Ovis aries: one gene and its partner. The protein of the gene in region 1 binds, or shares a complex with, the protein of each later gene. Links are inferred from orthologs where the notes say so. Each region holds a gene or a part of one and is shown in the gene's direction. Other genes may lie near its edges. The genes, in order: NGFR and ARHGDIA.

The links.
Region 2: the proteins of NGFR (region 1) and ARHGDIA are in contact, whole or in part, in an NMR structure (PDB 8X8T), measured with the Homo sapiens proteins. The link is inferred for Ovis aries from reciprocal best matches to the Homo sapiens genes NGFR and ARHGDIA. Residues at the interface, in NP_002498.1 of Homo sapiens: Arg274, Trp275, Ser277, Cys278, Lys279, Gln280, Lys282, Gln283, Gly284, Ala285, Ser287, Arg288, Pro289, Val290, Asn291, Gln292, Thr293, Pro294, Pro295, Pro296, Glu299, Lys300, Leu301, Ile307, Ser308, Val309, Gln312, Ser313, Asp316, Gln317; in NP_001172006.1 of Homo sapiens: Ala8, Glu9, Leu11, Ala12, Gln13, Ile14, Ala15, Ala16, Glu17, Asn18, Glu19, Glu20, Asp21, Glu22, Val25, Pro30, Ala31, Gln32, Lys33, Ile35, Gln36, Glu37, Ile38, Gln39, Glu40, Leu41, Asp42, Lys43, Asp44, Asp45.

What each region holds. Positions count from the first base shown.
Region 1 is NC_056064.1:36,841,996-36,846,498, reverse strand, and holds the start of NGFR (tumor necrosis factor receptor superfamily member 16), read left to right. Parts: upstream 1-1,512; 5' UTR 1,513-1,632; coding exon 1,633-1,698; intron 1,699-4,503. UniProt on the Homo sapiens protein: Low affinity receptor which can bind to NGF, BDNF, NTF3, and NTF4. Forms a heterodimeric receptor with SORCS2 that binds the precursor forms of NGF, BDNF and NTF3 with high affinity, and has much lower affinity for mature NGF and BDNF.
Region 2 is NC_056064.1:50,519,924-50,524,395, forward strand, and holds the start of ARHGDIA (rho GDP-dissociation inhibitor 1), read left to right. Parts: upstream 1-1,584; 5' UTR 1,585-2,328; intron 2,329-2,414; 5' UTR 2,415-2,540; intron 2,541-3,133; 5' UTR 3,134-3,160; coding exon 3,161-3,350; intron 3,351-3,451; coding exon 3,452-3,535; intron 3,536-3,899; coding exon 3,900-3,976; intron 3,977-4,055; coding exon 4,056-4,119; intron 4,120-4,234; coding exon 4,235-4,434; 3' UTR 4,435-4,472. UniProt on the Homo sapiens protein: Controls Rho proteins homeostasis. Regulates the GDP/GTP exchange reaction of the Rho proteins by inhibiting the dissociation of GDP from them, and the subsequent binding of GTP to them.

The sequences.
Region 1 (4,503 bases):
AGCTTATTCACATTCATGGCCAAGGCCACAGTGATTTGACGTCTACCTGTCCTTTCTGGGGATAGCCACTGGATTTTGTTGGTTACACAGGAAAGAAACTCACAGGGCAGAATTTTTACTCCCACAAATGAATGATTTAGCTGAGAAATCACCTACCAATAGTAAGCTTGCCCTAAGCACAAGTGTCTGACTCTCTCCCTTCTTCCTGTAAGGCTATCTTTTCAAAGTTGAAACTGAGGTCCACACCTGGCCAAGTTCAGGGTGAGGGGATGAGCTTTATAGACTTGCCCCCTACAACTCTATGCTCCAGGGCTATCTGGGAACCAGGAAAGGGTGGGGACAGGCAAGGTGGGGTTGAGCATCAAGGTGGAGGTGGAAGTGCTTCCTGCCAAAAGACTGGTGGCAAACTCCTGGGGTTGCCAGGGCCTATAATTTGAAACTTCCAAGTTTTCTAGAGCATGATGAGTGTGGTCCTGGAGATGTACGTGGATGTGAGTCCATTCAACTCTTTTATTCTTTCTGCAGACCTTCATTGAACACCTACTGTGTACTAGGCATCCAGATAAGAAACCGCAGTCCCTGCCTCCAGGGAGCTCATCAGCTTATGGAAACATAGTCTAATGAAGGCAAATGGTTGAGGATACATCTATGTGTTCATATCTCTGTGTGTGTGTGTGTGTGTGTGTGCACTGTGTGAGAGATTATACATATGAGGGGTTTCATGGAGATGACTGCACACGAACACGTGTATGTGTGAGTGTGTATGTGAGGACGTGTGTTTGAATGTTATGAGCACACGGGCGATGAGTGTGCATGTGTGGAGGTGCACAGGCATGGGCAGAAGGCACCGGTCCACAGGACTGCGTGAGGATGGCGGGGGCATAGGCGACTGCATAAGCACATATGTATGTAACCTCGGGAGTGTGTGTATTCCTTTTTGTGTGTGTGCACACCTGCGATCGCTTCAGACCCGTCTTTTGAGAATTCAAATGATGTCGGGATGGTCTCCTCCTTGAACGTCCCAGCTGTCTGTGGTCCGTGTCAGACCACTTGCCACCTCTCTCCCTCCTTCCCCTAGGCCTTTGCAGAGACAACCCCGCACTGGGAAGGGGCAGAGAAGGACTTGGGTATAGACCGGGAAATGAAAGGAGGGGCGGGCAGTGAGCATTACTGCTGATAACGGCTGGGTAGGGAGCAGGGCACCGGGGAAGAAGCTGAAGCCAGAGGCAGGGAAAGATGCGCAAGAGAGGGAATCCGAGCCCACAGCATCCGGGACGGACGCGTAGCAGCGCGGGTCAGGCGCCGGGTACCAGGTCAGGGATAAGCTTTGAGGGCGGGGTGCGGAGAAGCTGCAGCGGGGCTCACGGGCGCGGCTCCCTGCACGGTCCCTTTCCGCCTCTCCCCTCCGGGAGACCGCGGGGAGGGCGGGCGCGGTTCCGGGGGTGGGCGGGCTGGGCGGGGCGAGGGCGGGGCCGCCGCACTGGCTTCTCCTAGCCCCTCCCGCCGGCAGCCAGAGGGAGCCGAGCCTCCGCCAGCTCTGAGGGGCTGGCGCTGGAGCGCTGCGCAGCGCAGCCCTATCGGTCCGCGGAGCGGGCTGAACTGAAAGCCGAGCGCTGCCGCGGGAGGCGGGCGATGGGGTCAGGTGCCGCCGGCCGCGCCATGGACGGGCCGCGCCTGCTGCTGCTGCTGCTCCTGGGGGTGAGTGCTAACGGAAGGGGAGCTCGCTCTCTTTCCCGGGACCGAAACCTCGATGAGTCCAAGTTTCCCTGAGGAAAAACAGAAAAGAGCATTGGGGTCCCAGATGCTGGCGGCGGCGGCGGCGGCGGGGCGGGTGTGGGGCGGGGGGCGGTGGATGACGAGAGAGGAGCTCCGATGATGCCAGTATCCACGGAGGAGCGTCTCAGGTTCTCAGAGCGAAGAGGCGACTCTGAGATTTAAGGTAAAGATGCGGAGAAGAGGGGCGCGCGGAAGCAGGTCCTCGTGTGCCATAGGAGGTGTGTGTGGAGGAGCTGGGAGGGGTCTCTCAGGAGAGAGTCGTGGGGCTCTCGGATGCCTGGGTTCTTCGGAAGAGGGCGCTTGAATGCGGGATCTCGAGGCGACTTTCCCTCTGAGCATCTTGATCTCTGGAGAGTCGTGGGACGGAACCCAGGCTAGAGAAGGACGAGGAATGGGACGGGAACTAGAAAAGTGAGGGGCGAGCGTGGTTGGGGTGGGGAACCGGAGACGAGGAGATAAGAATGGTGTGGGAGGAGGACGGAGGGACTGGAGGCAAGGGGACCGGGCGTCGGACAATGAAGACCAGCCAGACAATGGGGTGGGGGGAGGGGCGTGGGAGGGAGAGGTTCGGGGAGCCTCTGTTGAAGGGAGAGAGGTGGGTTAGGCAGGGCAGAAAAGGGACGCTGGTGAGGCAGGTGGAGAGAGGGAAGCAAAAGGAGAGAGGACGGAGTAGGGAGAGCAGAGCTGAGTGGTCTGGGCCCCGCCTGTCCGCCGAGAGACAGTGGGACGAGAAGAGAGAGCAGAGACAGACTCTCCCCGCATGTGTCGCGCGCGCTCTCTCGCGCGGTCGGGGAATTGTGGTTTGGGGTCCGAGGCCGGGAAAGGAGTGCCCACCTCGCCAGGGCGAACCCGCCTCCCCGGTTCCCCAGCGACCGGCGGGCTCCCGCTACACACTTATTGTCGCGGTTAGAAGCAGAGCTGCGGACTGGATGGGACGAAGCAGGCGTCGTCTGACAGGTTCTGGCCGCTGCCAGTTCTCGGGGTGCAGAGAGGCGGGACTCGCAGAGCCGGGAAGGTCCAGGCGGTGCGCCGCCGAGGGGGCGCGCCGGCGAGGGCGGCCGGCAGGGGGCGCTGCGGCGCGAAGGCTGCGCGATCGCCGCTACTGGCGCGACCCGGACTGCGCGCTTCACCCGCCACCCGGACCCCTGTGAAGTCAACCTGCCGCAGCGCCGCCGCGACCGTTCGCTACGTTTCCGCTAACCGGGGGGGAGGGGGTCGGGGTTCTGCCCGCGCCCCGCCCAGCTTTCGGTGAAAGACTCCCGGCTCGGGACAAGAGAGAGGCTCTCAGACATCTCGGCAAAGGACTGCGGGACTTAGAAAGCGTCGAGGTCCGCCCGGTAGATCTGACAGGACATTCAGGACCCGATGTGTGGCCGTGAAGGGAGTGCCCTGGAAGGTTCTGCAATGGAGACGTCCTCACTCTCCCTGCCGTCTTCATCTCCTCTGAGCACTGAGCCCCCAACCCCCCATTTTACAGACAGGCGACTGAGGCTCTGAGAGTTTTAACCAGTTGGTCAAGGAAGGTCCCACAAGCGAGTTGAGCCAGAACCCTAGGGAGACTGCCCCTCACCTGACTGCCAGCTCGGTACCTCCCGTACGTCTAACGGGGCAGCCCGGCGTCCCAGCTCCAGAGAAGAGCTGCGCGTCTCGGCGGCGAGCGGGCGGGAACAGGGGGGCTGGGATGGGCAGAGACCCATCCCCGAAGCTCAGCACAGCCCCCCGGGGCGGTCAGTACCTGTGGCTGCGTCCGGGGATTTGCGAGTGACCGCGGGCACGTCTGCGCACTAACACCGCGGGTTACAGAAGCTTCTCAGGGGCCGGGGCCGGGGCCGGGGCCGGGGCCGGGGCCGGGGCCGGGGCGGAGGGCGGGGTCGGGGGTAGGGGTGGCCGGGAGCGGGGATTGGGGATTGGGGCAGCCAGTAGTGCGGATTCCGGAGGGGCGAGGGCGTGGGCTCGGGATTTGGGCTGGAGAGTGTCCCCCGAATAGAGAGAAGGAAGGGAGCAGGGGATGGAGGGCCCGGGAGCTCGGGAAGGTGGACCCGCATAGAATCTGCCGCCCGCACCCCTGCGGCTCTCGCGCCTGCCTCGCCGCGGGGCTGCTGTCTACGAGCTGGCCCTGCGCACCGCAGCGGTCCGAGTTTCTTCCTGGGCCGCGGCGAGAGAGTGCTGAAACCGGAGCGCATCCCGGCGGGTCGACTGACGGGCCGCGCCGGTAATGGAGGCACTTTGTCATTCAGACGTCTGTAACCGGAGCCGCCGGCTGGCTAATGCGCCTAATAGGGATGCAACTAGGACAGCAAATGCGAGGACAGGAGCGGGTGGGGGAGGAAACCCCGGGAGGGAAGGGGTCCCCGCCCCGCTGTGCCAGCCGGGTCGCGTTCACGCGCCTAGATTCTTCCCTGGGGTGGGAGGCGCAGAGGTGGGAATAATAAAATTGGTTGAGTGCCTACCGTGTGCCACGCACTACCCTGGATAATTTCTCTTGTCCCAGCAGAACAAATCTAGTTATTCCCATTTTACAGTTGAGAAAGCTGAACCTCTCAGGCCTTCAGAGAGGAAACCAAGTTGCCCCAGTTAGTATGTGGTAGCGCCCTTGTTGGAACCCAGGATTCCTGGCTTGGAGTTTACTCTTTCCTCCTTATGCCAGGCACACTCCCCTGCCCAGCCTTCCAAATCACGGACGGACACGTGGTCTTGAACCACCACTAGACCTGGTCTTATGCCCTT
Region 2 (4,472 bases), about 14 Mb from region 1:
CACCTCTGATACTAGGTTGTGAGGGGCACTGTGGCTTTGTTTTGCGCACTTGCTGTTTCCCTGGCTCGGATTCTCTTTCTGAGGCCTCACTCCGCGAAAGCCAGCTGCCTTACAGAGAAGCCAGAAGCTGTGGGCAGCAGGGAACTAAATCCTCCAGCCAACAGCCTGTGAGGATCAGAGCCTCCTGCCCACAGCACGTGCATAAGCTTGGAATGCTTGCAGATCCTGAAACCAGGTCCCTGGCTCACAGTTCAACCACAACCTCACTAGACGAGCCAGAACCACCGAGCGGAGCTCTCCCTGATCCTCGGTAAGGACAGTGTATGTTGGTCGTTTCAAGCTGCTAAATTCCAGGGTTATGTTTTTACACAGCAATAGGTGACTAATATAACAGAGTTAGATAGTTTTCAAAAAGCACTTGGGTTATCGAAAAACAAACTTTTGCTCAGTCAGCGATTGGGCAATGTAGCAGGACGCAGGATGAGTGCGTCGGGGACTAGCCGGGCAGTTTTCAGGTGCGCCAACAGGAAGCCTCAAAAGTGTGTATGGAATAAATACAAGATTGGAATGCTCTGCCTTTGGCCAACTCAACTTTCTACATGTTAAGCTGACCATGTGACTCTTCATTACAGAAAACTCGCAAATATTCCCCCAAAGTTAAGACATTTCCAAAAGATACCAAGGTCAGTATTTCACATTAGGTTCTGTGACCTAAAACGCCCCCACCACGTGCAATCCAGGGGTGTGTGTTTGTGATGACTCGGGTGTGAAGCATTTGAGGTCTTGCACTCCGCGAGGAGGAGGCGAAGGAAGAAGAGATGCATGCTAGACCGGCGTTGGCAGCGCAGGCTCCGCCAGCCTGGCTACAAATCATAGGCCCGGCTTGGCGCTGCAAAATCCTCGCTGGTTGAAGGCGTGGGCATGTGTCCGATAGTCGCCACGCCTGGTGGCGTCTGGGCTAGGAGCTCCCAAAAGGGCGACCGCATGGTGACTTGGGCTGGAAGGGGAAAGGCCTGGAGAGAGCTATTTGGACACCCGTGGATGAACGTTCGACGATAACTTCCGGGAGGGCGGACATCGGCGAGTGGGCGCGAAGGCAGCCTAAGGCCGGACAGCTGCCACTCGCTGACCTCGGCTACTTGATGGGATCGGCTGTGCCGGCTCGTCCCCGCGGCGTGATGGCAGCGGGCCCTCGAAGGGAGAGATGCCCGCTGACGGAGACGCGCCCGTGACACACGCGCGTCCCAGCACCTCGCAGAAATACCATGCCGCGCTCAGGTTTCTCGTGGCGCTCAGCGAGACCATCTCACTTCCCCACCCCTTCAGCTTGCCGGCAGACTCCTGAGGATACCCGGGACTAAGAAAAGCCTGTGGCAAAGAGCACAGGAGCCCCAACCGGACAAGTCTCCTTTGCCGCGCTGCCCAAACGGACGCGCCCACGAGGCCGGTCCGCAAGATGGCGGCGGCGCGCTGCCGGCAGCTCCTCGCACATGCGCTATCCGCGGCCCGCCCGGCGCGAGCGGAAGTCGCGTGACCCCGGAAGTGGCCGGCAGGGCGCGCGCGGGCGGGGCGGCGACGTTCGTCATTCTGTGCGGGAGGGAGCGCGAGAGCGGCGCGGACGATCCTCCGGTGAGTGCGGGCGGCGAGGCCAGCGAGCGCGGTGGGCACGGCGGGCGAGGCGGCCGCGGGGAAGGAGGCCGGGGCCGCGCCTTTGTTCTCGCTTCCCGCCCCGCCCGCCAGTCCCGCTGAGGGAATCTGCGCAGGGCGGGGGCGGCATTGACAGCGGGCGGCGCCCCGGGCGCAGGGCGGGCCCACGTGCGATCGGGGGCGCGGGGATCTGGAGGCGGGGGCGCGTGTGCCGGGGGTGGGAGCCGGGGTCTGTGCAGACCTCTTTTGTGGTCGCTGCTCGTACTCGGCAGCCCCCTGCTTGCTGGTGCGCGCGGACCAGGGCCAGGCGGGACGCCTCCTCCCCTGGGAGGTGAGGTCCCTGCGCCCCACCCTGCTTGCCGGGCCTCGCCTGGCCCAGATTGCAGGCCCTGCGGAAGTGCGGGCCTCGCCATCGCACTTAAATGATTTTGTCGCCTGCGGCCGCGCTTGAGTGACGTTAAGGCGTGAGCCTTCTAGAGGAATTCCAGAGGAAGCTGCAGGGAAGCTTGGAAAGAACGAGCCGGCCCCACCCTGCCTGTGGCGGCCGGGCGGTTCCGGGTCCCCAGCGGCCCTTTGTAAGATCGGGTCCTCACGCACGTCCCGGCATTGGCTGTCTTTACTGGCAACCGGTGGCCCTGACCCACCTCCCACACCGCCGGGTCTAGTCTGAGTCGGTTTCAGGTACTCCTCAGGGATTCTGCGGGGTGCGACGGTCATCCTTAGCGAAGGAAGTCCTGTGGCTGCCCCATCACTTCTCGCTTTGACAGCATTGCTCTGGGCTCTTCTGGGGCCCGGGCGGAAGGAGGATCTTGAGACTACCCATCACATGGCTGCAGCAGTTCTCAAATTCTAGGTCACAGACCCTCACAATTAGAGATTGGTTTGTCGGACAGGTAGGGTCTTTTAGGCCATTTCAGGACTTACCTGTGGGACTTAGGCTAGCCCCGTCATCTGAGCTCTAGGGGAGACCTGTGTTTGGGCTGGAGGGAGACATGACTGACCCATGTCCTGCACAAAGGCCTTGGTTTGTAGCTGGGGCGTTTTTGAAGGAACAGGCTGGTCAGAGAGAACCCAGCAAGAGGGTTTCCTTGAGGAGAGGGCCTAGGCAGCTCAGAACAAGAAGCAGCACTTGGTCCTGGTGCTTCCTGGTTGGACCCAGGTGCTGCTGCTTCCTGGGCAGCAGGGAAGCTGTGCCTGCTTTCCTTTCATTTAGCTCTGGATGCTGGGGTGAGGTCCTGTGAGGTGGGCAGGGCGAGGAGGTGAGTGGCCCCTTTGGGCTTCAGGAGCCTGTGTCTGGGCCTTTTATGAAGTTCTGGCTGTCACTGCCTTCCTGTTAGAGAACGTGCACCTCCCCTTGGGCCCAGGTTGGGGGTTTGGCCACTTGCAGAGAGCCAGTGCAGACCACCTGCAGGTCCTGCAGAAGGGCAGGTGGGGACACACTGTGGGTCCCTCCAGGCTGCCGCAGCCCCTGCTACTCTGGTCACAGGTGTCTCACATCCAGCTAGAGGTGAGTATGGCTGAGCAGGAGCCCACAGCCGAGCAGTTGGCACAGATTGCGGCAGAGAACGAGGAGGACGAGCACTCGGTCAACTATAAGCCCCCGGCCCAGAAGAGCATTCAGGAGATCCAGGAGCTGGACAAGGACGACGAGAGTCTGCGCAAATACAAGGAGGCCCTCCTGGGCCGCGTGGCTGTGTCTGCCGGTAAGTGGGCCCCGGTGGGGTGTGTGGACACCTGTCGCTTTTCTGGGTGTCCGCCACTATTTCCCCTGCTGGCGGAGCTCTAACTTGCTGTCACTCTGCAGACCCCAATGTCCCCAATGTTGTGGTGACCCGACTGACCCTGGTGTGTAGCACTGCCCCGGGCCCCCTGGAGCTGGACCTGACAGGTGAGTGGCATCTCCAGGTTCCTCGCTGGGGCTGCCTGGCACCCTGCTAATTCCCCTAAAAATAATTTGTTGAGATGCTGGCGCCCTCTTGTGGGGAGCCTAGGAAGTGCAACCAAGTGATTTTAATAAGGCTCTGGCTTTGGTGTGGCCTGGGATTGGAGGGTGGGGTGTGTGTGGGTGTCTGGGGTGTGGCCTGGGATGTCAAGGGGTGTGTGTGTGGGTGTGGGTGTGTGGGTGTGTGTGTTTGGTGTGGCCTGGGATGCCGGGGGTGTGTGTGTGTAGAGGGGCAGACAGGGCACCCCACCAGGGCCGGAGTGGCTTCCCCTACCTGAACCTCCTAGTGTGGCGTTCCTCTCAAACGCAGGTGATCTGGAGAGCTTCAAGAAGCAGTCTTTTGTGCTGAAGGAGGGTGTGGAATATCGGATAAAAATCTCCTTCCGGGTAAGGAGGAGGCTTGGGGGGATGCTGGGGGCTCGGACTGGAGAGTCTGGCTGAGCCCCGCTTGTGTGCCTCCTTGCAGGTGAACCGAGAGATTGTGTCCGGCATGAAGTACATCCAGCACACGTACAGGAAAGGCGTGAAGAGTGAGTGCGGGGGCACCAGGAGGGAGGTGGCCACCGGGGGCTCAAGGGGCGCCGGGAGGGAGCGGGGAAAGGCCCGCCTCAGCTCCCTGACGGACGCCCTCCCCGTGCCCCACAGTTGACAAGACTGACTACATGGTGGGGAGCTATGGGCCCCGGGCGGAGGAGTATGAGTTCCTGACGCCCATGGAGGAGGCGCCCAAGGGCATGCTGGCTCGAGGCAGCTACAACATCAAGTCCCGCTTCACAGACGACGACAGGACTGACCACCTGTCCTGGGAATGGAACCTCACCATCAAGAAGGAGTGGAAGGACTGAGCCGGGAGGCGGGCAGGGCGGGCGGACGGAAGGACGGA